Linked DNA regions of Elephas maximus indicus. The protein of the gene in region 2 interacts with the protein of the main gene of each other region in a pairwise test. Links are inferred from orthologs where the notes say so. Each region holds a gene or a part of one and is shown on either strand. Other genes may lie near its edges.

Region 1 (15,940 bases), on a different chromosome or scaffold from region 2:
AAGTTTAGGGGGTGGATAGACACATCAATTACACAGTAGAATAAGTAAGTGCTCTACAGAGTGGTGGTTAAGAGCTCAGACCACGCAGCTTAAACAACTATTAGAATCCTGGGTCCACCACATGCAGCTTATAAACACATTTATACTTAACCTCTCTGTAAAAAAGCCCTTTTGTTTTTGGTGCTGTGGTTAAGTGCTCAGCCGCTAACCAAGAGGTCGACAGTTAGAGCCGGGTTCATTCTGGTCTGAACCCCTGTTGAAATTTTGCATTTCCACCCTAGATATACTGAATCAGAATCAACATTTCAAAACATCCCCAGGTGATTCTTATGTGTAATAAATTTTGAGAACCACTGCTTTATTAACAGTTCTCAGAATTGGTCCCTAACCAGCAGCATTAGCATTGCCTGGGAACTTGTTAGAAATGCAACTTCTCAGCAAGGGTTTGAACCAGAAGGAACCTGTTTGAAGCCCTGGTTCAAACCCACCGGCCGCTCTTCCGAAGAAAGATGTGGCAGTCTGCTTCCATAAAGATTACAGCCTTGGAAACCCTATGGAGCAGTTCTACCGTCTTCCAGGGTTGCTAGGAATTTTTTAGGAGTCAGAATTGACTCTGTGGCAACAATTTCTGTTAAAATGAAAATACGAGTACCTGCCTCATAGGATAGTCATAATGATCTTAGGACAGCGCCTGGCACATAGTAAGTCATCAATAAATGTGTATGGGACTCACAAGTTGCTATGAAAGCACAGAGGTCAGGCACCTAAGGCAGAATAAGAGGGTCAGGGAAGCCTTTCCAGAGGCGATTGAGCCCCGGAGGTAGATAAGAACATGGGGAGAAAAGGAGGAAGACAGGCTGGCGGAGTAGCACAGGTGTCCAACCACAAAGGGCCTTGCCTCTAAGGTTGTTGTGTGGGTGAAATGAGACAACGCATTCAATGCATAGCACATAGTAGGCATTCGATAAATGCGGTCATTATTAAACTCCAGCACTGATCCTGGCTGGAAATACAAACTGGAGACTTACGAATCCGATAGAAAGGGGAGAAGAGAACATGAAAGGGCTGCAGCAATGAGTAAGGAGAGTTCAGTGTTTCAAGAATAACGAAGGTCTGAGACTAGAAGGACCCCGGTGGTCATGGCCCCCAGACCTTCTGTTGGCCCAGGACAGGAACCATTCCCAAAGCCAACTCTTCAGACAGGGACTGGAGTGGACAATGGGATGGAGAGGGATGCTGGTGAGGAGTGAGCTTCTTGGATCAGGTGGACACTTGAGACTATGTTGGCATCTCCTGTCTGGAGGGGAGATGAGAGGGTAGAGGGGGTTAGAAGCTGGCGAAATGGACACGAAAAGAGAGAGTGGAGGGTGGGAGTGGGCTGTTTCATTAGGGGGAGAGCAACTGGGAGTATGTAGCAAGGTATATATGAGTTTTTGTGTGAGAAACTGACTTGATTTGTAAACTTTCACTTAAAGCACAATAAAGTAAATAAAAATGAAAAAAGAATGATGAAGGTGACAACAGCAACTCAAAAGATAGGAACCTTAGGAGGCAGTAAGTTTATCTTAATGAAGGAGGAACAATTCAGAAAAGGAGTGTGAGAATGGTCACACAACTCGAAAAATGTAATCAGTGTCACTAAATTGCACATGTTGAAACTGTTGGTGTTATGTTTTGCTGTGTATATTCCCAACAACAAAATAAATAAAATTTAGAACAAAAAGAATGATGATGGTGATAATGATAATAATTAACAGCATGTATTAAAAGCACTCCCTGGGTGGCACACATAGTTAAGTGCTTGACTATAAACCAAAGGTCGTTGGTCCAAACCCATCCAGGGGTACCTTAGAAGAAAGGCCTGGCTGGTGATCTGCTTGCAAAAGGTCACAGCCATTGAAAACCTTATGGAGCACAGTTCTACCCTGAAACACATGGGGGTCACCATGAGTCAGAATTGACCCCACAGCATATGGTTAGTATTTATTAAGGTGGTTACTAGGTGCTAGGCACTGTACCACGCACTTTGCACACAACCCTGTGAGGTAAGTCCTACTGTCATTATCTCCATTTCACAGATGAGGAAAATGAGGCACAGAGTAGTTTAATACGAGATTCAAACTCAGCCAGCCTACTCTAAAGCTAAACTATCACTACACTTACAGCCCGATGCCTGCTATAATTGTGTTTTGGACAAAGAGCTCCAGGAGCCAGAGTCGGCAGCCAGAGGGATCAAGGAAGGAGAAGATGGTATGAGAATGGGATCTTGTGAGTTGAAGAATTTGTCAGGAGGAAAGGCGTTTCACGCAAGAACACGTGCAAAGGCCCAAAGCCTTGAAAGTGCATGCCTGTTCCTATCAAGAATGGTTGGTTTCCCAGTGTGGCTGGAAATCCGCAAGGGGGCATGGGGGGAGGGGAGCAGAGGGAGGAATTTGGATTTAGATCCTAGAAGCAATGAGGAGCCTCGGAGGGCTTCCAACAGGAAGTGGCCGGATAAGAGTTCTCTCTAGCCTGATCATGATGGTGGCCCTCTGTTGAGCGCATCGGAGGGGGCATAGGGCAGGGAGACTTGACGAGGCAGGCAGGGATCCAGGGTCGAGATGACAGGTCACCACCCCTTCATGGCTGTGTTGCCATCCTCACGCCTACCTACCATCGACGGTACCTCGCATCCCGTTAGCCCGCGGAAGAACAGACAGGCAGAAACCATGCTGGGGTGGGTGAGCACACAACACACTCCCAGCTCCCCAGACCGGTGGCCTGCGTAAGGTGTGGCGAGTACGGTACCCAATACCCAAAGGCTCCAGAAAGGCAGGTGGAGAGGTGAGGGGACTGCAGGGCTCTGCCGCCCGGGTCCCAACCTCCTGCTGCGCCCTCAGCCTATACCCTCCCACCCCAACCCGAGCTCCCTCCGCAGGCTCACCCGACTCAGCTCGAAACCCCTGCGGCCTCCCTCCTCCAGCACCAGCCGCAGCCGATGCACGTCCGCGGAGCTACACAAGCCCAGCTCCAGCTGCGGGTAGCCGGCCACTAACCCGCCGACCTCAACTAGCGCAGCCCAGCACAGGGCGACCGCCGCCTCCGCTCCCGCACCCCGACGCCCTTCCGCGTCCCTCAGCTCCCAGCCCACCGCCCACCCCCCTGGAGCGCCATCCAGACGGCCCTGAGACCCGATATCCCGGCCCTCCGGTCACTGAAGCCACGCGCTTTCCAAGGCTTGATTTTATTCGTTCCAGACACAGAGCCAGAAGGATCCGCGCCTTTCTCCCGGGCGGAGGTGGAACCGGGCGGGGACAGGGCGGAGCCGCCCGCGCCCGGGGGAGGTGCGTTCTAGGCGCAGGCCCGACTCCTTACTGCACGCCCTCCATCATCTTCAGGAACTCTGCGGGGAAGGAGACAACAAGCGCCAAGGATGCTGGCTACGGCCACGGCGAGGGGCGCCATGTCATCAATTGATAAATAGCACCAAGGTGCCCCAGCGCAATACCGGCTCGCAGGGGTGGGGGACCCGGTCCCGGTCAAGCTAGGCCCAGCCCTGCCCTCAAGGCCAAGGACACCCAGGTGGGTGCCAACCGCACCCACGTGCTCCCTGGACGCTCCCGCGTGGCCCCCTTCTCCGCCCCCGCGGCCCTCACCATCGAAGTCGATGCGGCCATCGTTGTTCTTGTCTCCGTCTTTCATTAGGGACTCAATCTCCTCGTCTGTCACGTGCTCCCCGGAAGCTCTGAAAATCTCAGCCAGCTCCTCCGGGTCGATGTAGCCATCTGCGTTCCTTCAGGGCAGAGGGGCAAGACCAGGCTCAGGGACTGGACCAGCTAGCTGCCCTGGCCATGCGGGACAGTTCTCCCACATCCTCACCCCAGAGAACCTTGGCTCCCTGCCTGCCGACCAAGCTCCCAGGCCCCCAGTGCACCTGTCGAAAATGCGGAAACATTCGGCCAGCTCCTCCTCGGTCTTGCCCTTTGCATCCTCTTTCATCTGGCGCACCATCATGACCAAGAACTCCTCGAAGTCGATGGTGCCGCTGCCTGAGGGGAGAGGGTGGCCAAGTGGGCCTGAGCCCCAGGTGCCTGCTTCTCCTCGCCATCACCACACCTGCCACGAAGGGCCACCCACTCACCATCCTCATCCACCTCCTCGATGATGGCATCCAACTCCTCTTTGGTGGGTGTCTGGCCAAGCATCCTCATCACGGTGCCCAACTCCTTGACACTGATGTCACCGCCACCATCAGCGTCGAACATATCAAAGGCAGCCTTGAACTCTGCCAGGGGGGATGAGGGCCCAGGGCTGAGTGGAACCTGGGTTTGCTGTCACCTCCAGAGCCCCCATCATAGATACACTTGCCCTTCCACCCTGCTCTACACCAGACACCCCCCCCGCCCCCCCCCCACACACACGCAGCTGCAAACACCCAGCCGGCCAACCTCACTCACCAGCAATCATCTCCTCGCTGAGGTAGGACCGAGCCTCAGCCTGCTGGTCCGTCTGCAGAAGACACAGAGAGTCAGAGAGCAGAAAGGGCAGCCATAGCACAGATCCTTGCCATAGCTCCATTCTCCCCAACCCCCATTTCTGTAAGCACCCCCACCCCCACTTCCTCCAGAAGACCAGGTCCAAATTTGTCACACCTCCTTCATGGCCTCCCAGCACCCAGCCACATTTAGAAGAACTAAGAAGAAGATGTAGATTATGTCTAAGGCCTCCTTACTGGTCAATCTGAGGCCAAATTAGGAACACCGTGCCCCTGTGACGATGAGCAAATCACTCAGAACTGTGATTGAAATTCATCATAGAGACGAAATCATGTTTGCGTTAGAGTTTTGTAAAGCACCAGCACCTTTCCAGCATGATTTTCCAGTTTTTCCTAGCTCCTAATGGTGCCAAATGCTTTAGTAGGTACTCAGTAAATGTTTGTAAATAATAATGCAACACAAAGTTCTTGAGCACCTACTATGTGTCAGGCCACAAGCAAGTATTGGAACCACCAAGAAGAGTGGGACCCGTTATTCTGAGAACTTGAAGAGATGCAGCTCCAAATGTTGAGATTCCTTCTTATGAGTCAATCATTAAAGACTCTCATGCTGGGCAGAATGGGATGCAGCCCTTCAGGGGGTGAAAATAAGACTGCTGCGAGGGTTTCCAGTCACATCCAAGCCAGACCATCTGGGTAGGTTGCATGGAGGAGGGGCTGTTGCAAGGAGGCTGGCAGCAAGGAAGGGCTGAGATGTCCAAGGAGTTCTTCGGCCTCTGGCCCTGCTCCTTTCTCCCCTCCCCCTCCCTTTCCCTATGCCAGGAGGGCAGGCTATTTTTAGTCAGGTGTGGGCAACAGCAGCTGGTCCTTGGGGTCTGGTTACTCCTTGAAGTGGGGAGGGGAGTCTCAGAGGAAAATGACAACCCCAAACCAGGACCAGTCTCTGAGAATCTGTGTCTCTAATTCTAGTCTGTTATCGTCTATCCTTTCCCATCAGCCTCAGGGCTCTTGGGGCCCTGCCCCTGAGCTGTTCCCAGGTGTTGCAGGCCTCCTTACTTCCAAGGGAGCCTTTTCCTGTCACTGACAGTAGTAGGTTTGGCCAGGCTTCTAGCCCACTCTTGCCACTGGCTCACTGGCTGACCTTTGTCAACTCACTCTGGCTCTCAGGGTCCCCATCTGTACCATGAGAGAGCCAAGCTAAGAACCCCTCACAGCTCTATGACTGACATTGCTGGAAGTCCCAGAAGGTCTAGAAGAATCAGCAAGCCTTGAGGATCAATCCCTGGAATATCCCGGCCCTTCCCCTTCCAAGAGAAGTTGAGGGACTTCTTCCCAGGCTTTCTTCAAGAAACTTGGGTTCCAAGGAAACTTCACACTCTTCTGCAAACATCCAAGTTACTGCCCCCCAGAGCACCCAGATCCGTCCTCAGAGAAGCCCAGAGGCACCCCAGCGAGTGAGGGAAAAGAGTCCCTCCTTATCCTTACCATGGTTGCAGGTCACTCGGACACCTCTGCCACAGGTCACCTCCTCTGAAATGCACCACCCAAAGATGTCCTGGCCCACTCCAGCCCCCGGGATTTGTAGGGGCACCCCCTCCTCCCACCCCCCCTGCTCCCCAGGACTGGATACCCTGGCCAATCAGATCCTGGGGTCAGCAAGCCCCACCCCTCCCAGAGCCCTAGCCCATTACCTAATTTAGCCAAGGGCCCTTGCAGAGAAATTTAAGCCTCTGAGCAGGTGGCAGGACTTGATGTCCTAGTCCTAGATTCTTATGAGGAGTACCCACCCTGCTCCGCCATCTCGGAGAGCGCCCCCCCTCCGCTCAGGAAGCATACTTGCTCCAAGATGGGAAAGGATCATCAGAACAGAAAAGTGAGGCAACATGGTAGAGTGGGAAGAGCACAGCCTTGTGGTGTGAAACACAAGATCCAAGTAATGCCTCTACAAGCTGTGTGACCTCGGGCAAGTGGTCATGCCTCTGTAAGCCTCAGTCTCCTCAGCTGCAAAATGGGGATAATTAAAACCTCCCTCACAGAGAGACCGTGATAAATGGGAACCCAGGTATAAGTCACCTAACTTGGGCCAGGTACATGGGGTTGGAGCTTGGCAAGTGGAATTTCCTGTCCTTAAACCATAGTAAGGGGTAGGGGACAGGATGAGGGGGAAGTGGTAGGTACAGCTGCCATTTATTGAACCTCTATGGTGTGTCACACACTGCGCTAGGCATTTGAACCACATGATCTGACCAAGTATTCATCCTGTGAGGTAGCAACTATTATTATCCCCCCTTTTACTGAAGTGCTTTATAAATCCTGAAGGTCTGTATTTATGTTGGTGATCCTTACTATTGATCCTGACTGGAGAGAAACTGAGGCAGTCTTTGGGCGGCAGCAGGTGTCCAGAACAAGTGTGTGGAGGGTTCCGGGAGAGAGTGCAGATTTAGAGAGGAAAGAAAATAAGCATTGGAAGCAAAGACTCTTCTCTGAAACTTACCTTCTCTAGGAAAAGGATGTATGGGATTGGGATTCTTTTTTTTTTTTTTTTTTTGCGGGGGAGGAGCGGGCAGTCAGGGGAAAGTTCTCTAAGTACGTGAAGCGGCAGCTGGCCCCTTCCTAGAGCTCCATGAAGAAGTTTGGAGGAGCTCACCTGGCCATCTGGAGGGTGAAGGGGTGGGCAAGTCAAGTCTGAAGGGAGTCCACCCGTGAGGGTCTAGGCTGGGCGTTGCCAAATATGCAAGGCTCCTGGACAGTGGCTAAGTCAACAGTATGAGCACTGAGGCCACTCAGTGCAGTTCCTAGAGCCAGGGAAGGGGGGCTGGACAGCAGGAAAGGCAGATGGACAGTGGCAACTGGGCTGCCCCCTTCCCCCTATATATAGACATTCCAAGGAAAGCTGTAGGGAGCCAGGCCAGACTAAATCAGGCCTCCCCCAGCCAGGCAGAGGGCCAGGGGCGACACCTAGGGAATTTCAATTTGGACACCAGTCCCTTTGGAAAAGAGGTCCTGGAACCCTCAGAGATCATTTGTTCATTGATTTGTTCTTTTGTTTATTCAGGGAAATAGGTAAGGTCCCACCCACCAGTCCAATCTCACTCCCCCGGCTCTCTGCACCTTGCCTGTTGCTGTACTCTGGTCGGTCTTAAATACTTAAGTCCTCCACCCCTTATAGCCTCCAGGCCTATGCACATGCTCTTTGTTTGTTTGGAGTTTTTTTTGTTTTTGTTTTTGTTTCCTGCCAGGATCCCTCCTCCTCTAAGGCCAGGCCAGGGGAGTCCAGGGTGGCCTCCAGTAGTTTCCTCAGTCATAAGCCCTGAGCCTGTTCGGCATTCCATAGACCACAGAAGGTTTCCTGTATCCCATCTCATCCCCCAGGACCCAGCGTGTGGCACTTAACTGTGCCGTGGAGTTGATTCTGGCTCATAGCGACCCTATAGGACAGAGTAGAATTGCTCCATAGGGTTTCCAAGTCTGTAATCTTTACTGAAGTCGACTGCCACATCTTTCTCCTGCAGAGTGGCTGGCGGGTTTGAACCACCGACCTTTCAATTCGCAGCCAAGTGCTTAACCACTTCACCACCAGGGCTCCTTACTTGGCACCTTACTTGGGTGTTCAATAAATATGGTGTTCTACATAAGATTAACTGAACTGAATGAATCTGGTTCAATATAAGGAGGAACTTCCCTATAGTCACAGATTAACAATAATGGGAATGGAGAGCCTCAGGAGGTACTGAGCTCCCTGTCACTGGATGTACGTAAGCAGGAGCTAGATGACCATCTCTCACGGAGGCTGTAGGGAGATATCTGAACAGTCTAAGACTAGTGGAGAACACAAGACAGGACATCAGGAGACCTCCTGCTTCCATGCTTCTGGCCCTATTTGTATGAACCAGGGCAGTATGAAGGTCTTTCCCTCACTGAGCCTCAGACTTCCCGCCTGTAAAATGGAAGCAGATTTCTGAGGGACCCTCCTGCTCTGACAGCCAAGGTTTTACGAACCCCTGCTTTGTACCCAGGTCCCTGGGTGCCACAAACGGTTTGCACTCAGCTACTATGGCAGCTTGAACCTACCCAGTGGTGATGCCTCAGAAGAAAGGCCTAGCACTCTGTTTCCAGAAGATTATAGCCCAGAAAACCCTGTGAAGCACACTTCTACTCTGAAGCACATAAAGTTGCTCTCGGTAGGAATTGGCTAGACGGCAACAAGTTTGTGTTTTTTAATTTATACTCAGATTTACGACGCATATGCCAAAGGTCAAGTTAATATTCAGCCAATGTTTGGTGAATGGATGAATGCTGAATGAATGAATGAGATGTCTTTCTTGCCTCAACACCCTGCCTGTAAGCAGAATGAAGAGGAATTAGAGCTTTGCTGTTACACCCACCCACCCACTGCCATCTTAAATCCCAGCTCCCCCGTTCCCTAGCTGTGGACCTTGGAAAAGTTGATTTGTCTTGGTTTCTTCATCTTGAAAATGGACCATTACTGTCCAGTAATAGCCTCCTCTCCAGGGTGCTATGAAGCTGAGGCGTGGCAACATGTAAAGTGCCTAGAACAGGACTCGGGGCAGAGTGGAAGCTTGAGAAATGAGAGCTCCACTCAGGGGTGGGTTAACCAGCACGGTATGTATGGGTTTACTTGTGTTAGTAATCTGTAGTGCACAACTTCACAAACCCCAGTGTACCTTGTTTATAGGGTAATGCGTGCCTGGCTCCGCCCCTTCTGATCATCTGTTCATCTCTCCACCCTTCTCCCCTGTGCCACTCAAAAAGGGTAGGTGCAAAATAAATTATATATATAAAACAAAACAAAACCCGTTGCCAGCAAGTCAATTCCAACTCATAGCAACCGTAAAGGACAGAGTAGAACTGCCCCATAGAGTTTCCAAGGAGCACCTGGTGGATTTGAACTGCTGACCTTTTGGTTAGGAAGTATAGAATTTAGCCACTAAGCTGCCGGGGGTTCCATATGTATGTAAAGGATAGGCACTACAGTCAGGCTGTGTTTGATTGCATAACTAGCAACATCTGCCCTGCAAGGGACTGGTAGCTAGGCCTTCTAACAGAAAAAAGCATGCTTAAAATCTTCTTGACCTACTGGTCCCCTCTGGATAAAAGATAAAACCCAGCCCCAGAGGAGGTGCTGAGATTACTGGCCTGCAGCATGGGAAAGAACTGGCTGTAGAACCCAGAAGACCTGAGCTCCAAGCCCCCATCCCCAGAAACCTCTGTAAGCTTGTGGCTTTGGGCAAGTAACTCTGCCGGCTGGGTCTCAGTTTCCCAGTTTGCTTACTTTCTAAGTGTGAAGCTCAAAGAGGATTGTGAAAGCCTGTGAACCCTGTGGAAGCCATGATCGTTATGTAACTGATCAATACCTCGGCCACCCTGCAGCAGGCGCTGGACTAGGGTGGGACCTTCCTTGAGCTGCAATCAATCTCTGCAAAACTGATACTATTGTTCCTGTTTTCTGTTAAGAGAAAACCTAGGAAATCTAGGTCAGATGCCACACCAAGCCACGTGTCTTTTCTTGGTCTCAGTTTCCCCACTGGAGAAAGGGGCTTCCTAATGTCACACAGGAGCCCTTCCTAATGTCACATGGGTGGAGCAGTGGTTAAGAGCTCAGCTGCAAGCCAAAATGTCAGCAGTTCGAATCCACAGCCGCTTCTTGGGAACCCTATGGGGCAGTTCTACTCTATCCTACAGGGTCGCTGCAAGTCAGAAGCGACTCGACAGCAACCGGTTTGATTTAATGTCGCATAAGGACCTGAGAAAGTGGAGCATCAGGTGGAAACCGAGGGGGAGGGAGGCAATACTGGAGTCGGCCTGGGTCTTTGTGAGTGGTAGAAGGACACAAAGAGGGTGTGCGCCCTACGGATTGGGGATGATCAGCAGGTGGCTTGGAGTTCTCCCGGGGATGACCCCAAGCCTCTCCTGGAGCTAAGGGCCCGGGATTCTCCGGAGGCTCCAGGGAGCGGGCGGGGCCAGAGGCGGGGCGGCGGCAGGAAGAGGCCCGAGCGGCGCTCAGAGCGGACTGGGCCCGGCTGAGTCCGGCGGAGCCCAGCGGCTCCTGGAGGCTTCGGCGAGCCGCTGGGGGCTGCTCGGGGACCCCAGGGGAGGCGCGCTCCGGAGTGCACCGCTGGGCGCTGGAGGTAGAGGCGCGCGAAGGGGGCACAGGGACGTGGGAGGAACCGGACCCTCTGGGAAGACCGCAGCCCTGGACGCGTAGGTCCGGGAGGCGGTGGGGCGGGAGTCCCAGGACTCGCTGGGCCCCCCGGGGCAGGGCGGGGCCTCCGCGGCTCCTCCCCCTGTGGGCGGGCCCGCCCCCTCCTCCCCGCGGGCTGGGTCCTGCTCCCGGGTGGGGACCCAGCGCCGCGCTCCCCCCAGAGTGCCATGGCCTCCCGGCTCCTGCACCGGCTGCGGCACGCCCTGGCCAGCGACGGCCCCCGGGAGGCGGCGGCCGGGCCCGAGGCGGAGCAGTTCCCGGAGAGCTCGGAGCTAGAGGATGACGACGCCGAGGGCCTGTCCTCCCGCCTCAGCGGCACCCTCAGCTTCACCAGCGCCGAGGACGACGAGGACGAGGACGACGAGGAGGCTGGCCCTGACCCGCTGGCCCCCGGGGATGGGGCTTCGGGAGAAGACGCAGGTGAGTGTCGGGGGACGAGACCAGACCCTGGAGCTCAGTTAGGCCTCCATCCCAGCCGCGTTCCCGAGAGCATCTGGGGGCACTCAGAGTTGATCCAGCCGAAATTCCGACACTTCTTTAAGTGCCCCAGCCACCTCTTGGCTGTGTGACCTTGAGAGAGTCACAACACCTCTCTGAGCCAAGTTTTCCCCTGCTTCAAATAGGGGAAATCACCCCCATCTCTGGGCTGGTGTGGGCTTTAAACATATGTATGGCATGGGATACACATGGCAATACTGTGCTGACGATGCTTCGGGATGAGAATATTTATTCAGCGCCTACCATGTTCCAGACATTGTGCTTGGCACCCGGCTCCTCACTGGCCCTCAATTTCCTTTTCTGTAAAATGGGGATAAAGCTTGTCTTACAGCTTAAGAGGATAAATGAATTCCTGGCATGTGGTTACATGCGTCCTGGCCCTAGGCCTGGTGATGTGACCAGTACCTGTGTGCTTCCGCAGAACCAGGCCCCCCGCCGGACGGTCCTCGGGGCAGTCAGCTCCTGGCCCGGCAGCTACAGGATTTCTGGAAGAAGTCCCGTAACACCCTAGTACCCCAGCGGCTGCTTTTCGAGGTGACTAGTGCCAACGTTGTCAAGGATCCACCCTCCAAGTACGTGGTGAGTGAGGGTCCAGGTCCTGGGCTGTGAGCCCAAAAGAATGGTATGGCTAAGAGAGAGCAGGGAAGGCTCTAACTTCTTGGAAGCAGAAGGGTGAATACAGTTAGAAATGGCTGCCCCATTTTACAGACGGGGAAGCCAGGCCAGGAAGGGGCTGAAACTTGAGCAGATCCTCAAATGACTTAGCTTTTCCGAGTCTGACTGAAGTGGAGATAATGAACTTGCCTCCTAGTCTAGTTTTGGGACAGAGAACTTATATGTGTGAAAGGGTTTTGCAAACTGTAGCAAGATAACAGGGGGAAGGACATGATCTGGGTTAGACTTGCAACCTGAATTGCATGGGCTAGTGGTTAAGGAAGTGGGCTTTGGAGCCAGAACAAGCTGAGTCAAATCCCCCTTACTGGATCCCAGATTGATCTCAGGTGTTTGGTATTGGGAGAGTCATGTGACCTTGTTGACCCTCAGTGTTCTTATCTGGGCAGTGGGAATAATGACAGTGATATCTACATCAGAGGATTGTAGCAGGAATTAAAGGAGACAGTGCACAGAAAGCTTTCAGCATGGTGCCTGCCTGGCATTCTGACATGTATGTGTAAGGACCCCTGGTGGTACAGTGGTTAAACACTCTGCAACTAACTGAAAGGTTGGCGCTGTTCAAACCCACCAGCTGCTCCGCGGGAGAAAGATGTGGCAGTCTGCTTCCATAAAGATTACAGCCTTGGAAACCCTATGGGGCAGTTCTACTCTGTCCTATAGGGTCGCTACGAGTCAGAATCAACTCAATGGCAATGGGCTGTTTTTTTTTATATCATTATTTACTTTGGGTTGAAAATGGCTGGCATCTAGGGCCTCCTGTGGCCTCCTTCCAACCCAGGATAACCAATTCTCAAGCACCCACCCTGTACAGTATAATCTTGTCCTAAGGGCTAGACTTAGGAGGCCAGTAGGGGCTTGGGGTGAACAGTAACATGGAGGAGAGGCCTTGGAGTCCCCATTTTCCTTGCTGTGGAGAGGAGGGACTGGCATGAAGAATGAGGTCTACCAGGTTGTGCTCCCTGCCAGGCCTGAAACCCAGCCCGGCCTGGCCAGTCCTGGCGGTGGTGGCGGTGCTCTGCCTCTCACGTCCCTCTTCACCACCCGCCTCTGCCTCTGACTCAGCAGGAAGGGGGCCTGGAGCCCTGTCCCACATCTGGGCCTCTCCACCCCTCTCTGCTGCTGTTAGTACACAGGTCCACACCCATGGGGACACTCCTCCAATTTGAGCAGGGGTTGATTCTGTGATGCTCAGGTCTTAAGTGGCAAAGGTCTTAGAGTTCTAGGATGGATGAGGGGTAATGCACAGGAAGGAGACACTAAGAATCAGTCACCTAGGAGCAGCCCAGAGGCAGGGAGGAATGGGGGCCCATGTCTGGGGAAGCAGTTCACCTCCTCTGCCCACTGGGGACCCCTGGTCCCCATCTAACTTCTGGGGGAAAAGCACAGGCTTTGGAATCTGACCTACCTGGGTTTGAATCCCAGCTGGGCCACTTATCAGCTGTGTGCCTCAGAGAAAGGCTTTGAGCCCTTTGCCCCCGCCCCCAGTCCGCTTCCTCAGCTGCCTACCAGATAATAACACCTTCCTTGCAGTGCTCTTGTGATGATTAAATAATACTGTAAATGTTCAGCACATAGCACAGGGTGAGTGTTCAGTCCATGGAGCTACTATCATGATTTCCTGTCTTGGTGGGAGGTTACAAGGATCAGATGAGATAATGGATGTAAAAAATTTTTTTGCAAAAAAATTAAAAATAAAAATAAAAGCTTCATGAACATAAGGGGTTATCATAGGCCAGTGTTTGCTGAAGTGTATTCTGCAAAATAATGGTTCCTGGGATATTAATAACTGTTCAGGAAAGGGTTTTGCAGTCAGTATGTTTCGGGAATGCAGATCTGAATGAGAATAAGATAGGTTTCTTTATCGTGAGACTTTCGCATCCTCTGTATTAACATACTTGGTGAAGTAGAGGGCCGGTGAAAAAGAGGAAGACCCTCAACGAGATGGATTGGCACAGTGGCTGCAACAGTGGGCTCAAACATAGCAACAATTGTGAGGATGGCGCAGGACTGGGCAGTGTTTCCTTCTGTTGTACACAGGGTCGTTGTGAGTCGGGACGAACTCCACGGCACCTAACAACACTGAGAATCATCAAGAGAACAGAGTAGGCAAACCTAAGTGACCAGGAGTGGCTATAACACCAGCAAATCTGCAGAACACTGGAGAGAAAAAGGTGGTCTCCTGGTAGTATGGAGTCCCTGGGTGGCATAAACGGTCAAGCGCTGGCCTACTAACCAGAAGGTTGGTGGTTTGAATGTACCCAGAAGCACCTCAGAGGAAGGCCTGGCAATCTACTTCCAAAAGATCACAGCCATAGAAGACCCTACGGAGCTCAGTTCTACTCTGACACACGTGGGGTTGCCATGAGTCAGAACTGACTCGATGACAACTGGTATTTCTTGGTTTGGTGTCAGTATACCTTTAAAACCTAGCACTTGCTAATCCCTTTTTTAAACCTGTTGGCTCAGCATTACTGTCATTAATCCACACTCAGGTTCTCAGAACTGGGGGGAAGCTCAGCGGTCATCATGCTCAGTGTTTCCCAAAGCCTCTGTCATTCCAGTACCGCCTTCCCAGTTCTTGTCCTGTCTGAATATCACTTGTACCACTATTGGCTTCATATTTTCTTTAAATGAACCTGCTTTTTTTCATTTTCCTTAAATAAGTTTATTTTAAAAGACCATTTTACAACAGCACTGTATGTGTGGAAAACCTCACTTGCCATAAATAGAAGGTAGACATCAAAATAAAGGCAGAGAAAATGAAGCTGCGTCAGCCTAGATGCTGCTGTTGCCGGAAGGGGGCCCTGACCTGCGATTAGCTTTCGGGCTCTTTTCTAAAACTGGAGATGAGAAATGTTGGGGGAGTGCTTAAAAAAAAAAAAAAGTGCCAAGCTGAGAGCTTCTCAATTTATAGTCACAGAGATTAAGAGAGGACTAAAGGGGAACCACCTCCTATCTGTGATTCATCATTATTTACCCTGGTACATAAAAACGAATTACTTCACTTGTACACGTTAAGTCAACACCGACCTGGTCCAACGCTTCTGGTCCTAGAAGGGGACTGTTTTGCCTGCAGTCACATGGTGAGGTGGAAGCCGACCTGGGGTTTGGAACACCTTCAGTGTCCTTGGCACAGCGTTCCGGCTGTCTGAAGACTTGTCCTCTGGGCCTGGTTTGGAATAACCTGGCCTGGGTAGAGGCTGTGTCTGGAGAGGAACAAAATCCAGGATGGTCCTAAAGGTTGGCTCGGAGGCCTGGAACCTGGGTTTCTGAGCAGCTGTTGGAACAGCCAGCAGGGCTATGGGGAAGGGGTGTTCCCTAGAAGGAGCAAAAAGGGCCAAGTAGCCCCAGTCCCTGAAGCTCATCTCTGTCTTTCTCTCTCCGTGCTGACGTGGGCCTGGGTCATTTCAGACGAGCCTCAGGTAAGATGGCTGGGGTTTCCTAGCCACTGCCCAGCTGCTCCCACCTTCCTGGGCCCAGTCCTAAGGCTGAAGGGGAGAGGTGGGAGGGTGGTGAGGAAGGGAACCCGTGGAAGCCTTGCACCTGCCCTGACACTCATTCCCCCTGCAGCTCTACACCCTCACCGTGATGGGCCCAGGGCCTCCAGACCGCCAGCCAGCCCAGATTTCCCGCCGCTACTCGGACTTTGAGCGGCTGCATAGAAGCCTGCAGCGGCAGTTTCGGGGCCCCATGGCTGCCATCTCCTTCCCCCGGAAGCGCCTGCGCCGGAACTTTACAGCAGAGACCATCGCCCGCCGCAGCAGGGCTTTTGAGCAGTTTCTGGGCCACCTACTGGCGGTGCCCGAGCTGCGCCATGCCCCGGACCTGCAGGACTTCTTCGTGCTGCCTGAGCTGCGGCGGGCGCAGAGCCTCACCTGCACTGGCCTCTATCGTGAGGCTCTGGTGCTCTGGGCCAGTGCCTGGCAGCTGCAGACCCAGCTGGGCACCCCCTCAGGCCCAGACCGCCCCCTGCTAACCCTGGCTGGGCTTGCTGTGTGCCACCAGGAGTTGGAGGACCCTGCAGAGGCCCGGGCCTGCTGTGAGAGGGCCCTGCAGCTGCTAGGGGACAA
Region 2 (16,143 bases):
CCCCCACCCCAGCTGTCCTCCTTTGTCTTATGACAGGTCCATGGGAACCTGATCTGAGTGGGGATTAGGAAGAGGTATTTGGGAAGGGACAGTGGCCTGAAGACAATAGCTGCCCCTCCCCCAGGGGCTATTTTCGGGGGTGGCGTAGCCGGTGAAACAGAGGACATTTCCTAATAAGGGGTCTGAGGGGGCTTCTGGAGGATTGGTCACACAACCCAGCTGGCCATTTGGCTGGGATTCCTCCCATCTGTCTCCCCTTTTCACCTTTGGCCACATCCATGGTGTGGTCTCTCAAGAGCAGCTTCTGCCCATAGATCTCATCCTCACCCCTAAATACTTACAGCCCCCTAGTCTCTGGGATCCCCTGAGTCCCAAGGTGCCCAGATTTAAGACCTCCAAATCCCTATATCTCCAGATTCTGACCCCCTTGTTAATGTCCCCATTTGACACCAGTAAATCCTCATATTTCTAGATTCTGAGACCCCAGTTTCTGAAACTCACAAACTCTGGGTCCCTCAAATCTTGAGATCCCTAGATTCCAAGATTCCAGATTGTTACCTCAGATTCTGAGATCCCCAAACCCTGAACTCCTCAATTCCTAATACCTGGGATTTAGATATCCTAATTCTAATCCTCCAAAACCTAACACTTCAAATCTTGAACCTCTATTTTGGTACCCCAAAATGATACAACTCCCCTTTCTGAGATCTTAAATCCTGAAACCCCAATACTGACACCCCCAAATATCAACACTCTTGATCCTGAGACCCCAATTCTTGATGATCTAGATTATGGACCTAAACATCCAGATATCCCCAGGACCATCTTAATTCTGAACTCTCCAGATTATGAGACCCCAAAATCCCAATACGCAAGCTCTGAGGCCCAAATCATAATACCCCCAAATTATGAGACTACAAATGCTGATTGCTTCCATCATAATATTTCAGATTGAGACCTCGATTCCTAAAACCGCAGATTCGAACCCTCCCCCCATATCTGATACCATCAGAGTTTAAGATCCCAAATCTTGATACCCAGACTATTGGACCTCCAAACCCAGATACCCCCAATTTCTGAGATCTTCCTAGACTCTGAGACACTGGGTCCTAAATGTTATATTCTGGGGCACCCAAATTCTGGCACCCCAGGTTCTATTAGCCCCAAATCCTAATAGTCTTCCCTCAATCCTGAGTCCCCCTGAAGCCTGAACCTCCCAAACTCTCAGACCTCAATCTTTATGCCCCTTTTACCCCCATACTTTCTCCTCTCTACCCCTCATCTCCCCCACCCCTCTCCTTTCCCCTACCACATCATCTGCGGAGACTCCAGGGCCCCCATTACCTAAAGCTGGGTCTTCAGATGCTGTGAAGGGCTAAGTAGATCAGCAGTGTTGGGGCTGAAGCATCCCCTGGGTTTATAGCCTCTGGCTCAGCCCCGCCCCAGGGGGAGAAGGAGGGAGGGAATTCCTTTCCCCAAACAAAAGTCCTGGCTCAGAGTCTGCCCTGCCCCCTCTGGCTCCAAGTTCTCCATAGTGACCTCCCCTGGCTGCTCCAAGGCCCCTGCCCCACCCCCATGAGCACCTCCTTAGAATCCCACCCCTCTGGACTCTCAGTGCTCTGTGTTGCCTCCATTATAGGGCGCATCACCTGGGCTTTGAAGTCCCTGGGTCCAGGACACTGTAAGCCCCGTTGTCACTGACTCAGTTTCGACTCATGGCGACCCCGTGTGTTACAGACTAGAACTTCACTCCATAGGGCATGTTATGGATTGAATTGTGTCCGCCAAAATGTGTGTTGTAATTCCTAATCTGTATACTTATGGAGGAGACCTGGTGGCACAGTGGTTAAGAGCTCGGCTACTAACCAAAAGGTCAGCAGTTCGAATCCAGCAGCAGCTCCTTGGAAACCCTACAGGGCAGTTCTACTCTGTCCTATAAGGTTGCTATGAGTCAGAATTGACTCCACAGGAACTTTTTTTTAAGTACTTGTAGATGTAATCCCATTTGGGAATTATTTATATGTCAATGAAGCCATATCAGTGGAGGGTGTATTTTAAACCAATCACCTTTGAGGTACTATAAACCAAGCTGATTAGGCAAGGAGAAGGAAGCAGAGATGGGAGGAAATAGATACCATACCACATGAAGATCACCAAGGAACCAAGAAACAAAGACCTTCCTCCCCAGTCAACAGACAGAAAGCCTTCTCCTAGAGCCAGTGCCCTGAATCTGGACTTCTAGCCTCCTGAACTATGAGAAAATAAACTTCTGTTTATTGAAGACACCCACTTGTGGTATTTCTGTTATAGTAGCACTAGATAAGACATGGTTTTCTTAGCTGTAATTTTTATGGAAGCCAGGCCTTTCTTCAGTGGTGCTGCTGAGTGAGTTCGAACAACAAACCCTTAGGTTAGTAATTGACCACAAACTGTTAATTGAGCACAAACTTTATGTCCCACTCAGAGACTTTCAGCGCACAATAGGTCTTGAAAACACCTATCGATTTTTGACCAATGGTGTACAAACGACACTTTGTTTCCACCTGGCTGGTGCCTTTTCCTGGGTCTCTCTGGCCCTCCAGCTCTCCAACTCTGTTTCAGTTTTGTCTCTTTGTTGTCTCTGTGACTGCCCATGCGTGTATGTGTGTGTGTGTGTCTCTACTTCTCAGTCTCCCCCCGCCACCGCCTTTGTCCATCTCTCTGTCTCCCCATCCCCATCCCCGCCCATTTGTCACCGCCAGGATTCCACTCTGGTGACAGCAGGCACTAAAGCTGGGAAGCAGGTGTGTGTGTGCGTAGGGGGGTGAGAGGGGAGAGAGATGGGGTGTCAATTAGCCCAAGTGCAACCTCATCCCCCACTTCCATATGACACAGATCTTTTTTGGTATCCCCCCACTCCCCTCCCCCTCCAAGCCATGACCTTGAATTCTTTACCCCTCCAAGCCTCTCAGTATCTCTGCCTGTCTCCTGTCTCTGGTTTTGTTTCTCTGCTGTTCTCTGGGTCTCTTTCTGGGAATCTGTTTGGGATTGTCTCTGTCTCTCTCCATGTCTCTGCCTCTTCCTGGGTCCCTCTGCATGTTTCTCATTCTGCAGGTCTCTCCCTGTATTTTTGTCTCTGCACTTCTGTTGTCTCTGAGAATCAGCCCCTCTCAGTGTCTGAGTCTCTTGGTGCATCTCTGTAGGTAACTCTGCTTCTGTCTCTCTTTGGCTCTATGCCTGTATTATGCCTCTATCTTTCTAGGTCTTTCTAGGTGTCTGTGTCTCTGCAGCTGTGCCTTGTTGGGCCTCTACTTCTGTCTTACAGGGTGTCTGGTGTGTCTGTATCTATATCTCTGCATTTCTCCTTTCTTTGCCCTTCTTCCTCTGTATCTCTGGCACACTCTCTTTCTCTGTGTCTCTGACTCAGTCCCTCTGACATGGATGTCTCTCTGCCCATCTGTCTTTGGGCATTGGTCTCAGCGTTTCTGTTCACCCCCTCCCATGTAGCAGAGAAGTCAAGAACACCCCGAGTTGGAGACCCAGCTCTGCCCCGACACGCTGTGTGGCTTTGAAGGAGCCCTGCCCTCAGTTTTCCTGTTTCTCTCATCCCAAAGCCCCCAGGTGATAAATACACAGTCAGTCCCAGTTCAGAGAGAAGTTTCTTTATTCCTCAGGGCCATCCTCAGGGCCAGGGCAATGGGCAGGCAGGCTCAGCCCTCAAACTTTTTCTTGCGGCCCTCCATTCCACTCAGAGCATCAATATTCTTTCGCCAGTCTCCCACCTCTCGGTTTTCCTGGGAGGGATAAGGCCAGACGTTAGGTTTCTTCCTGGTCTCTAGTCCTTCAAGTATCCCCCACCTGCCCTACACCTTGATGCGCTACTCTACTATGGATGACTGTCCAAGGATCTGGTTCGGGAACACTTCTTGTCCCCACAGACAATCCCTGCCAAGTTGCCACATGCATTTCCTGTTTCCCACATGCATTTCCTGCCTTCCACATGTACTCCCTGTCTCCCACATACCCCCCCAACCTCCTTGCATGCTTCCTTCCTTCCTAATGCATTTTCTGTCTTCCCCATCCATTTTCTGTCTCCCTCATGCACTTCCTGTTTTCCTTATATACTTCCTACCTTCCTGCTTACTTGCTCTTTCGCTATTATACTTCCTGTCTTTCCCTTCTTGTCTCCCTCGTTCACCCCCTGATCTACGCATGTACTTTCTCTCTCATTCACTTCCTGTAGCCATCATCCACTTCCTGACTCCTTGCTACTTCCTCTCTCCCTTTTACACTTCCTGTCTTCCCCCTCTACTTCCTGTCTTCCTCTTGCATGTGCTGTGTTCTGCCTATACTTCCCAGTGAAGACTACCTACCAGCTGCCTTTCCTCTCAACTCCATGGACTACCTGTCTTCAGGCTATGTCCTGGGATTATTACCACCACCCCCCCACAGCCCGCCACCTCAGCACCCCCTTTCCTGGCCCTAGCCCACACTCACCTTCTCAGTGTCCTCCTTCTTCACCTGCTTGAGGTGGGCCCGCAGGTCAAAGGTCTCCTTAGCTCGGGTTCCCAGCAGCGCCTGCATCATGACATCTGCAGAGATGCGCACCCTCCGTAGGGTGGGCCGCTTAAACTTGCCCCGAAGGTCGTAGATCTTCTGAGTCAGATCTGCAATCTGGAGGCCAGAGGAGAGGTAGAGACCCTTCCCTCTGCTTCCCCTTCAACCAGCCCTTCCACCCTACAATTCCCTCCTATCCCTATCCTGCCTTCCAGTACCCAGGTCTCATCCAGGCTTTCCCCAGCTCAGGCGCCCACCACTTTCAGGACAAAGTCCAAACTCCTCATCCTGGAACTCAAGGCCCTCCCTGATCTTCCCCAGCTTCATCTCTCAAAACCAGAAGATATATCCCAGTCCAGGTACATGCATCTCTCAGTTCCCGGGCCTGTCCCTCAGCGTTTTTTATGAGACAAACATATGTTCTGCTTTGATACCTCCTGGCTTTTGTATTTGCTGTTTCTTTTGCCTGGAACAGCCTTTCTTGACCACATCATACTAATTTATCTGTCCTCTCCCCACCAGAGTCGGAATTGACTCGACGGCAACGGGTTTGTTTTTTTTTTCCTCCCTGCCAGCCTCACAGAGTTGCCCTGGACCTCCTGGGAACCCCAACTGCAGGGGTCAGGCTGGGACCACAGCCCCAGGCATCTCACTGGACCCTGTTGTTACTGTTCTTAGGTGCCATCGAGTTGATTTCTGACTCATGGCAACGCTACGCGACAGAGAACTGCCCTCACTGAGTTTTTTAAGCTGTAATCTTTACGGGTGCAGATTGCTAGGTCTTTCTCACTTGGAACCCCTGGGTGGGTTCAAACTACCAATCTTTCGGTTAGCAGTCAAGCACTTAACCATTTCGCCACCAGGGCTCCTTCACTGGACCCTGGAGGTACCCCAAGCTGCCCACTGTCGCCCACCTCTGTGATGTTCTTGTTAACTTTTGCCTCTACATCGTATCTCTCTTCATCCACCTTGTCCACACGGGCGTGAAGCTGTCGGCACAAGTCCTGGTGGAGAAACGTGGAATCTGTGGTGGGGGGAAGGCTGGAGATCCAGACTGCTGGGTCTGAGGAAGGAGGTGGCTGGGAGCCCAGACTTTGGGCCTGAGGGAGGAAGGGGATGCGGGCCCAGGCTCCTGAGTCTGAGGAAGGAGGGACTGGAGTTTTGGACTCCTGGATCTGACTGAGGAAGAATCTGGGGGTCCTGGACTCCTGGTCCTGAAGGAGGAGGGGGCTGGAAACCTGAACTTCTGGTCCTGTAGGAGGAGGTTGGGAACCTGACCTCCAGGGAACTGCCAACACAGGAGCTAGGAGCCAGGACTCATGAGAATCTGGAGGAATTAGGGCAGGCCCTGCTTCTGAACTCCTGAGAGGTAAGGACTGGGAGATTGGACTCCTGGGTCTTGAGCAGATGGAGGAATAATTACGGTACTCTCCTTCCCACAGGATGCAAGACTGGAGACTAGGAACCTTGGCTCGCAGGCGGGGCAGGAGTCGTGCCCTGGGAGCCGGTACCTGCAGCTCCGCGAAGCCCAGGCCGGCCAGCTCCAGAGGCTGGCACCGGGTGCTCAGGGCACGCCCCTTCTCTCCGCGCCGCTCCTCTGCTTCCCGTTCCAGCTCCTGCTTCGCAATCTGCAGCATCAGGGTCTGCAGGAGTGGAAGGGGATCCCACCCAGGGGAATCACTTCTGCCATGCCCCACCCTCCAACCCCAGGCCGGTCTGTCCTCTGTCTCCCAGAGACCGCTCACTCAAGGTTGGTGTTTTTCATCTCAAAGCTCCGCCCCTCCCTTAGTAAGGCTCTGCCATAAAACCACGCCCACCCAGTCTGGCTCCAAAGCCCCGCCCTTCAAGGTTGATGTCCGTCACCTCAAAGCACCGCTCCTCCCTTAGCCACGCCCCTGATGTAAAATCACGCCCTCCCACGCTGGCTCCAAAGCCCCACCCCTTCTATGTATTCGAAGCCCCATCCCAAGCAACACTTTAACTTTTAACCCCGCCCCTTTGAAGATCCCTATGTTTCTTCTCCCCGCCTATCCTCACCTTCAGCTGTAGTTTTCTCGAGGCCGAGATCTTAGACTTTTTCTGAAGGGTGAGATGTAGCAAAGAAAGGTCAAGGAGGGCAATCACAAGGAGGAAGGCTCTCCAGAACCCACCCCCTCAAGCGAGGTTCATGCCCACCCCCAATTTCCACCCTCGTTCTACTGGAAGCTACGCCCCTCAGTCCCATTCACCAATCTGAGGTTCTGATTCCAGCTAAGCCCCGCCCCTCCATTCCCTGGCGAATCGGAGTTCTCATGGGCAACGGAGCTATGCCTATAAGGTAAATCTCGCCAATCCGAGTCAGCCTTCTGTAAAACCTCGCCCCATCGTGCAGTTTGGACTCCGCCCAAGCCCCGCCCCATCGAAGTCCTGGTTCCACCCCTTCTTCCGCTTCACCAGTTGCAGCGGCAAGTCCTCACCAATCTGAGCCCAGACGCCTGCGAAGCCCAGCCCCTAGGCCCCTCCCACCACACCGGCCCCGCTTCTCACCTTGGCGTGCGGCTCGATGGCATAGGCACGGTAGTTGGCTGAGGAGCGGCGCCGGATCGGGGGAGGTGCGGGGCGCGGGTCGCCCCGCTGGGGTTGAGAGAGCAGAGCCGCGTCACCACTGGGACTCCACTCGGCCCCTCCCCACGGCCTCTCTTAGGACTGCAGCCTCCTGCCCCAGCCGCCTCCCTGCAGTGCCCACCCAGCCAACAGGGACCCAGCCCACGCCTTAGCGGCCCCCCCCCTTACCGCATCGCTGCTCCTGGAGGGAGAGAAACGGAAAAAAAGGGGTTAATGCTGACCCTGTGTCCTGTCCAATCCGTGTCCTGTCCAATCCGTGTCCTGGGGGACCTAGAAGTCCAGGCCACCAGATCCCACTTCCTCAGTTTCCAGAAGTCTGACCCCAAATTCTTACCTTATTTCGAGACCCAGGAGTCCTGTTCCCTACTTCCCTTCTCAGGACAGTACCCAAACTCGCAGCTCTTACCCCGCTCAAGAACCCGGGAGATCACCCCCATCTCCCACTCCCTTGGGACCTCAGGAATCCAGGTTACCGGTTTGCACCCCTCACTCACTGGTTCTCCATGCTGAGGCTTGAGTCTGGAATTGCAGAAGGCAGAAAACGGGGCAAGGGGCTCTCAGTGTGTGAGTTAGGGGGCGTCCGGCGTGACCTTGGAGGTCCCGGGATGCTCGGTTTCCTCCCTGTTGTTCAAGCCTCACTGAGGACACAGAGATAAAGGGAGAGGACAGAGACTAAATATACTGCCGATGCCTCCGCCCCCTTTCCAGAATGCGAGATAATGGGGCGCGTGAGGGGTGGGGTTGGCTGTGCTTCAGCTGGCTCACCCCTGCCACCTTGGTGGCCTAGTCATCCGGTTCCCCTCATCCCCCAGAACCAGGAGTGCAGGCCCCAGGGCCCTCAATACCCTTCACTAAAATGTAATCTCCATGAGAACTGGAACTTTGTGTTTTTCATCTTTTATAGTCAGTTTGTTGCTTGAAGTGACGATTCAGTTGTAGGGGGTCCAAGCTCCCAAACCACAGCATCTCAGAATCCACCCTCGGTCCATTTGAAAACGCAGAAATCCAGTCTCCAGGCCCCTCCCCTCTATCAGACACCAGAGACAGACGGAGAACAGGAATGACACGGACACACATAGAAGAGAATGCCACTCCTTTTACTGGGACCACTTGGGTGATGACCAGGCCTGGGAAAGAAGGCACTCCCACCCACCAGTTAGGAATGCAGACTTCTGAGACAAGGGGCCGATGCAGACGGCCTGATACCCAGTGGGTTTAGAGTCTCAGGAGTGGAATTTAGGATTCTGAGAGAGCATTCTAGAATACTAGGGATAGACTATAGAAGGCCGTGAATGGAATTTGAAATTCTGGCAACACCTCCAGGGCTGAGTGAGAATCTTGAGAGTAAAACTGAGAATTCTAGTGGTGGGTCTAGAATTATATCCTCTGTGTTACAATTCCAAGGCCTGACTTTAGGATTTAGAGGTGGGGGACTTGGCCTCTAGGAGTCGGGTCAGACTCTTCTGCTTTGGGGTCTGACCTACTGGGGGCATAGCCAAAGCCTCCTGGGGTGGAGCCAGAACCTCCAAGGGGGAACCCTGAGACTCTGAGGGCTGCTTGAGGTACTCAGAGTGTGGGGCCAGGCCTCCAATGTGCTGGGTGAGATCCTCAGGGGGCGGAACCATGGCTTCAGGGGGCGTGACCATGGCTTCAGGAGGTGGAGTCATAGTTTCAGGGGGCGGAGCCATGGATTCTAGAGGCGGGGAAAGGACCTCCGAAGGCCAGACCAGGACTCCTGTGGATGGAGTCTGGGATCCCACGGCTCGGTCAATGTTGCCCGGAGAAGAGTCCCCGGACTTGCAGAAGCGCGCAAAGGTCTCTGAGGACCTAGCCCCTGACAGCGCGGCGAATCCAGCCTCCTGAGCCAGCTCCCCTACCCGGACAGAGAACGCCTGCAGCTGCTCCTGCCGCAGGTCTACCAGATACCTGAAGCCGGAAAGAGGCGAGTTAGGGACCCGCTTTCAGACCCGGACCCTGACTTTCCCAGCCCTGCTCTCCTCTGGCTCACCGAGCTAATTCCACAGTCAGGCGCCCTCCGGGGGCCACGCAGGCCCCGAGCTCAGGGCTGAGAAGGTGGACCATTCTGTGGAGAGAAAGGGGAAGGAGGCAGAGGGTCAGACTCCCAGGTCCTGAGGAAGGAGGAAGCTGACGGCCCAGAATCCTGGGTCTGAGTGAGGAGGGGCAGGGGCTGGACTCCTGGTTCTGAGGGAGGAAGGGTCTGGGGACCCAGCCCTGAATCCATGAGGAGGAGGGTCTGTGAGAGGGAAGCCTGGGTGCCTCCCAGACCCTCTTACCCACAGGCCACATAGAGAAGCTGGAACCGTCCCTTGTAGCAGCTCTTGTGCTGGAGGGTCTGGGCAGAATTGAGAGAAAGGAAGTGGACAGTGAAGGACCTCTGGGCGAAGGCTGCTGTGGAAGAACAGAGAGGGGTCATCCTGCTGGGTGGGGTCACAGGTGTGGGAGTCTGAAACACAGAGAGACATAGATACTGGCAGAGTCTGGGCAGAGGAATGAAGGTTGGAAATAACACTGTGTTTAAGTGTCTGTCATGAAGCCCTTTCTCATCCTTTCTCTTAGGGAGATTCCTGGAAAATTCTGGGGAGATCAGCCTGGCAGGCAGAGATCCACTTTAAAGACCAGACAACAGACTCAAGGGAAGAACAGAGAATGGATGGCTCAGGTCACATGGCGCATCTTCCCTAGAGTGGGACAGACACCCAGGGAGAGCCCGGCCAGCAGATGGTTAGAGGGAAGCATGGTCAGAATTCATGAGAGGGTGTGTGTGTGTTGTGAAATTGGGTCTCCGAAAAGGACTGGGACCTAGCACGCTGTGAGAATGTTCTCAACCAACTTAAACTTCCACACACAGGTAAGTCAGGATTCTATCCGTGGAATTCAGAATTCTAGGAAAAGTGTGAGGATTTAGGAAAGGAAGAAAAACAGCAGTAGAAGAGAGAGATTTGAACCAGGGCTTCGAATTGGTTCCTTCCGGTTTGAACCCCTGCTGAGGATTTGCATTTCCACCCCAGACATACTGAATCAGAATATACACTTTACTAAGATTTCCAGGTGATTCTTATGTATAACAAAATTTGAGAACTGCTGCTGTACTAGAGTAGCCCTGGTGGCACAGTGTTAAGAACTCAGGCCGTTAACCAAAAGGTGGACAGTTCAAATCCAAAAACCGCTCTTTGGAAACCCTACGGGGCAGTTCTACTCTGTTCTATAGGGTCGCTATGAATCTGAATCAACTAGACGGCAACAGGTACTGCCTGGGATCAGGGTGCCGGTTCCACTCTCTGTGTCCGCTGGTCTTCACCATCCCGACCTTTTGCCTCCCATTTCAACAGGGAAGACTGAGTCCCTCGCTTACCAGACTCCAGGTTTCCATCCTCCCCCTGCTGCGCCTGCTCCGGGTCCCGCTGGGCGTCTCTTGGGCGCCGCCAGGCGGCCACCTCCTGGAAGAGCTCTGTCACATTGTGTTGGGTGATTTCGCCCGCGCTCTGGGGAAGGGAAGGGACACGGTAGACACTGGGGCTGGGAACGCGGGGGCGGGGTTTGAGTGAACGAGGCGGGGCTTAGAGTAAGGAGGAGCGAGCGCTGGAACCGAAGTCTAAGAACTCTGGGTGAGCTTGGATCCCAGGGACCCGACCTAAAATCAAAAAGGAGCACTAGAGCGCAAGGACATAGAACCGGGGGCGGGGCCTAGTACCCGGAGGCGGAGCCCTGGATGTTAGGGGTGTGGCCAGGCAGGCAGAAGTGGATACCCGGGCACTGGGAGCGGGGTTTAGTAGCCAAAGGTGCAGCCTAGGAGTTTGGGCGGTGCCTGTATAACAAGGATGGAGGCTCGTCACCAACGGGAGGGACAGAACGTGAAACGCCGGGGCGGCGCCCAGCGGTTTGGCCGCGGGGCCTGGAAGAAAGAGGGAGGGGCTTCAAGTGTCTGCCAAAGCCCCAGCTCGCCCACCGCACACCTTGACCGGCCGCCCGTTGCTGGTCCGCAGGAGACTCTGGTCGTCTGCTTCGATCCCGAAGGCCACGAAGGGGCCCGTGGCGATGTCCCCCCAGTACCCGCGCGCCGCCACGCGCTCCCCACGCTGGGAAAGCAGGGAAAGAGGGGCAAGTGAGACCGCGGTTGGAGAAGGAGGAGCGGGCCAGGGCAGAGGGTGCACACGCACGTGGCTCAGGAGGCGTCCGGACGCTAGGGTACGGTTGGGCAGGTGGTAGGAGCTGGAATCTCTGAGTTCAAAGGCGACGCCTGTGTCCCTCCAGCGCCGGAACTCGCGGGTGTGGATGACCTGACCCTGTGGGGGAAGGAGGGAGGGAGGCCTCAGTAAACTTGGCATCTGGGCCCCCAGCCCCTCCCACATCAGATCCAGGAGTTCAGTTCCCAGCCCCTCCTCCCTCTGACCCAGGAGTCCCGACTCCCAGTCCCTGCACCCTCAGACCCAGGAGGCTCAGCCCCTAGCCCCATCCTCCCTCAGACCCGGGAGTCCAGTCCTTCAGCCACTCTCCCCTCATACCCAGCCCAGTCCCTCGGTCCAGTCCCTCCTCCCTTAGGCCCAGGAGTCCAGTCCCCCAGTTTCCTCTTCCCTCAGCCCCGAGAGTCCTAGCCCCCAGCCTCCTCCCTCAGACCCCGGAATTCAGTCCTCCAGCCCTTCCTCCCTCAGCCCCGACAGTCCCAGCCCCTAACCCCCTCCTCCCTCAGCTCTGGGGGTCCAGTCCTCCAGTCACTCTTCCCTCAGACCCCGGAGCCTAGTCCCTCAGCCACCTCCTCCCTCGGACCCGGGAATCCCGGCCCCCAGCCCCTCCTCGCCGGGCCTCTCACCCCGCGGTCGTGCAGCTTCATGTGCAGGTCCCAATCGCTGACACCGCGCCGGGCGTCGTAGCGGGAGCCCAGGTAGTGGCGCACCCGCAAGTCCCAGAGGCGGCTTATGGGGAAGGCCTCAGGCCCTTTCTCCCCGCCGGCCCAGAAGCGGAACACCGCCTCCAGGGCGTCCCGCTCGCGGAACTTTGTGGGGACAAAGAGAGGGAGACAGGAGTGATGAGACAGCAGCTTCTCTTGCTTCACCCTCCCATCCATTCCGAGGGGTGGAAAGTACTCTCCCATGTCTCAGATGAAGGACCTGAGGCTCAGAGGGCAGAAACCAGCCTCTGGCCCCAGATGCTACAGAGGGAGTCCAATGGGACTCAAATTCATGGCCTCCACCCACTCCATCAACACATATCCCTCAGGACTGCCCATTCCCGTTCTTCCAGCACCCCCGGGAGCCTGGGGGATGGCACCGACCTTGAGGGCGCCCAGGCTGAGCCAGGGCAGCTGCTCTGCCAGGCGGTCGGGCTCGGGGACCAGGTGCGCCAGGCGCTCCGCCTGGGAGCGCACAAAGGCAGCTACTGGGGGACGCAGCAGGGCGTTCCCCCACACCTCCAGGAAGATCTCGCTCCTCTCTGGGGGGGGGGGGAGGGCGGAGAAAATGAGCAGAGGGAGCTGGTGGAGTGAGCCCAAAACAGACCCGGGCTGATGAAGCATTCTCTCTCTAGTGGATATTCATTGATACGCACATCATTATAATTAGTAGTCATAGAATGTATATAACAAGCTCCCTGCCCATTCCAATAACTGCAACATGTAGAATAACTTAACCTAACCTAGGTCTCCTTTCCTGTTCCTCCTCAAACCCCAGGTAACCACAATCCTGAATTTGCTTAAATATATATATGGAAACGCTAGTGGCATAGTGGTTAAGAGCTACCGCTGTGAATCAAAAAGTTGGCAGTTCAAATCCACCAGGCGCTCCTTGGAAACCATATGGGGCAGTTCTACTCTGTCCTATAGGGTCACTATGAATCGGAATAGACTCGATGGCTGCGGGTTTTTTATGTATAGATATGGAGCCCTGGTGGCACACTGGTTAAGCACTCAACTGCTAACCAAAAGTCAGTGGTCAGAACCCACCAGCTGCTCCATGGAAGAAAGATGTGGCAGTCTGTTTCCCTAAAGATTATGGCCTTGGGCCAGCAAAGCAGGGGCGGGGGTTGGGGACCACGGTTTCAGGGGACATCTACATCAACTGGCATAATAAAATCTATTAAGAAAACATTCTCCATCCCACTTTGGAGAGTTGTGTCTGGGGTCTTAAACGCTAGCAAGCAGCCATCTAAGATGCATCAGTTGGTCTCAACCCACCTGGAGCAAAGGAAAATGAAGAACACCAAAGACACAAGGTATTTACGAGCCAAAGAGACAGAAAGGGCCACATAAACCTGAGACCAGAAGAACTAGATGGTGCCTGGCTACAACCAATGACTGCCCTGACAGGGAACACAACAGAGAACCCCTGAGGTGGAGGGGAGCAGTGGGATGCAGACCTCAAATTCTCATAAAAAGACCAGACTTAATGGTCTGACTGAGACTAAAAGGACCCCAGTGGTCATGGTCCCCAGACTTTCTGTTAGCCCAAGACAGGAACCATTCCCAAAGCCAACTCTTCAGACAGGGATTGGACCAGACTATGGCATAGAAAATGATACTGGTGAGGTGTGAGCTTCTTGGATTAAGTAGACACATGAGACTATGTGGGCAGCTCCTGTCTGGAGGGGAGATGAGAAGGCAGAGGGAGTCAGAAGCTGCCTGAATGGACACAAAAATAGAGAGTAGAGAGTAGGAGTGTGCTGTCTGATTAGAGGGAGAGCAATTAGGAGTATATAGCAAGGTGTATATAAATTTTTGTATGAGAGACTGACTTGTAAACTTGCACTTAAAGCACAAAAAAAAAAAAAAAGATTATGGCCTTGGAAACCCTATGGAGCAGTTCTACTCTACCCTACAGAGTCTCTGTCAACTTAACTGCAGTGATTTGTATATATAGTTCTTTTACAAATCTTATAGGCATATAGGAGATAATTATTTATCTTCAGTTGTACTGTTGTTGTTACGTGTTGTTGAGTGGGTTCCAACTCATAGCGACCCTATGTACAACAGAACAAAACACTGCCTGGTCCTGTGCCATCTTCACAGTTGTTATGCTTGAGCCCACTGTTTGTATATGATTAGATATATATACATATATATCATTTCTACATCTCTACATTTATCTAGCTGTATATCTATATCTATCTATAGTTTTTTTAGCTGTATAAGAACCTTATAGGAAAAAACAATGTAGTTTCAAATGTACATGATATGTTGTTGTGTTGTTAGGTGCCATCAAGTCGGTTCCGACTCATAGCGACCCTATGCACAACAGAACGAAACACTGCCCGGTCCTGCGCCATCCTTACAATCGTTATGCTTGAGCCCATTGTTGCAGCCACTGTGTCAATCCACCTCATTGAGGGTCTTCCTCTTTTCCGCTGACCCTGTACTCTGCCAAGCATGATGTCCTTCTCCAGGGACCGATCCCTCCTGACAACATGTCCAAAGTATGTAAGACGCAGTCTCGCCATCCTTGCTTCTAAGGAGCATTCTGGTTGTACTTCTAAGATTTGTTCGTTCTTTTGGCAGTCCATGGTATATTCAATATTCTTTGCCAACACCACAATTCAAAGGCATGAACTCTTCTTCGGTCTTCCTTATTCATTGTCCAGCCTTCACATGCATATGATGTGATTGAAAATACCATGGCTTGGGTCAGGCACACCTTAGTCTTCAGGGTGACATCTTTGCTCTTCAACACTTTAAAGAGGTCCTTTGCAGCAGATTTGCCCAATGCAATGCGTCTTTTGATTTCTTGACTGCTGCTTCCATGGCTGTTGATTGTGGATCCAAGTCAAATGAAATCCTCCACAACTTCAATCTTTTCTCCGTTTATCATGATGTTGCTCATTGGTCCAGTTGTGAGGATTTTTATTTTATGTTGAGGTGCAATCCATACTGAAGGCTATGGTCTTTGATCTTCATTAGTAAGTGCTTCAAGTCCTCTTCACTTTCAGCAGGCAAGGTTGTATCATCTGTGTAACTCAGGTTGTTAATGAGTCTTCCTCCAAACTTGATGCCACATTCTTCTTTATATAGTCCAGCTTCTCATATTATTTGTTCAGCATACAGATTAAATAGCTATGGTGAAAGAATACAACCCTGACGCACACCTTTCCTGACTTTAAGCCAATCAGTATCCCCTTGTTCTGTCCGAACAACTGCCTCTTGATCGATGTAAAGGTTCCTCATGAGCACAATTAAGTGTTCTGGAATTCCCATTCTTCACTGTGTTATCCATAGTTTGTTATGATCCACACAGTCAAATGCCTTTGCATAATCAATAAAACACAGGTAAACATCCTTCTGGTATTCTCTGCTTTCAGCCAGGATCCATCTGACATCAGCAGTGATCTCCCTGGTTTCACGTCCTCTTCCGAAACCGGCCTGATTTCTGGCACTTCCTTGTCGATATACTGCTGCAGCTGTTTTTGAATGATCTTCAGCAGAATTTTGCTTGTGTGTGATATTAATGATATTGTTCTATAATTTCCACATTTGGTTGCATCACCTTTCTTGGGAATAGGCATAAATATGGATCTCTTCCAGTCAGTTGGCCAGGAAGCTGTCTTCCATATTTCTTGGCATAGACGAGTGAGCACCTCCAGCGCTACATCTGTTTGTTGAAACATCTCAATTGATATTCCATCAATTCCTGGAGCCCTGTTTTTCGCCAATGCCTTCAGAGCAGCTTGGACTTCTTCCTTCAGTACCATCGGTTCCTGATCATATGCCACCTCTTGAAATGGTTGAATATCGACTAATTCTTTTTGGTATGATGACTCTGTGTATTCCTTCCATCTTCTTTTGATGCTTCCTGCGTCATTTAATATTTTCCCCATGGAATCCTTCACCATTGCAACTCAAGGCTTGAATTTTTTCTTCAGTTCTTTCAGCTTGAGAAACGCTGAGTGTGTTCTTCCCTTTTGGTTTTCCATCTCCAGCTCTTTGCACATGTCATTGTAATACTTTATTTTGTCTTCTCGAGAGGCGGTTTGAAATCTTCAGTTCATTTACTTCATGAATTC

Evidence for each region.
Region 1: the proteins of TNNI3 (region 2) and TNNC2 interact in binary tests that used the Homo sapiens proteins (3 or more experiments, as listed by UniProt). The two-hybrid records come from large-scale screens. The link is inferred for Elephas maximus indicus from reciprocal best matches to the Homo sapiens genes TNNI3 and TNNC2.

What each region holds. Positions count from the first base shown.
Region 1 is NC_064843.1:23,410,287-23,426,226, reverse strand, and holds TNNC2 (troponin C, skeletal muscle), read right to left. Parts: upstream 6,015-15,940; 5' UTR 5,963-6,014; coding exon 5,960-5,962; intron 4,489-5,959; coding exon 4,437-4,488; intron 4,265-4,436; coding exon 4,121-4,264; intron 4,029-4,120; coding exon 3,914-4,028; intron 3,773-3,913; coding exon 3,636-3,772; intron 3,383-3,635; coding exon 3,351-3,382; 3' UTR 3,218-3,350; downstream 1-3,217. Other genes in the region: SNX21 (sorting nexin-21), read left to right, coding at 10,865-11,117, 11,617-11,774, 15,441-15,940. UniProt on the Homo sapiens protein: Troponin is the central regulatory protein of striated muscle contraction. Tn consists of three components: Tn-I which is the inhibitor of actomyosin ATPase, Tn-T which contains the binding site for tropomyosin and Tn-C.
Region 2 is NC_064829.1:91,883,486-91,899,628, reverse strand, and holds TNNI3 (troponin I, cardiac muscle), read right to left. Parts: upstream 7,695-16,143; 5' UTR 7,646-7,694; coding exon 7,635-7,645; intron 7,322-7,634; coding exon 7,309-7,321; intron 7,150-7,308; coding exon 7,063-7,149; intron 6,616-7,062; coding exon 6,574-6,615; intron 6,180-6,573; coding exon 6,048-6,179; intron 5,541-6,047; coding exon 5,451-5,540; intron 4,654-5,450; coding exon 4,477-4,653; intron 3,774-4,476; coding exon 3,690-3,773; 3' UTR 3,653-3,689; downstream 1-3,652. Other genes in the region: DNAAF3 (dynein axonemal assembly factor 3), read right to left, coding at 8,553-9,066, 9,149-9,223, 9,435-9,549, 10,514-10,643, 11,115-11,237, 11,319-11,444, 11,969-12,151, 12,431-12,588. UniProt on the Homo sapiens protein: Troponin I is the inhibitory subunit of troponin, the thin filament regulatory complex which confers calcium-sensitivity to striated muscle actomyosin ATPase activity.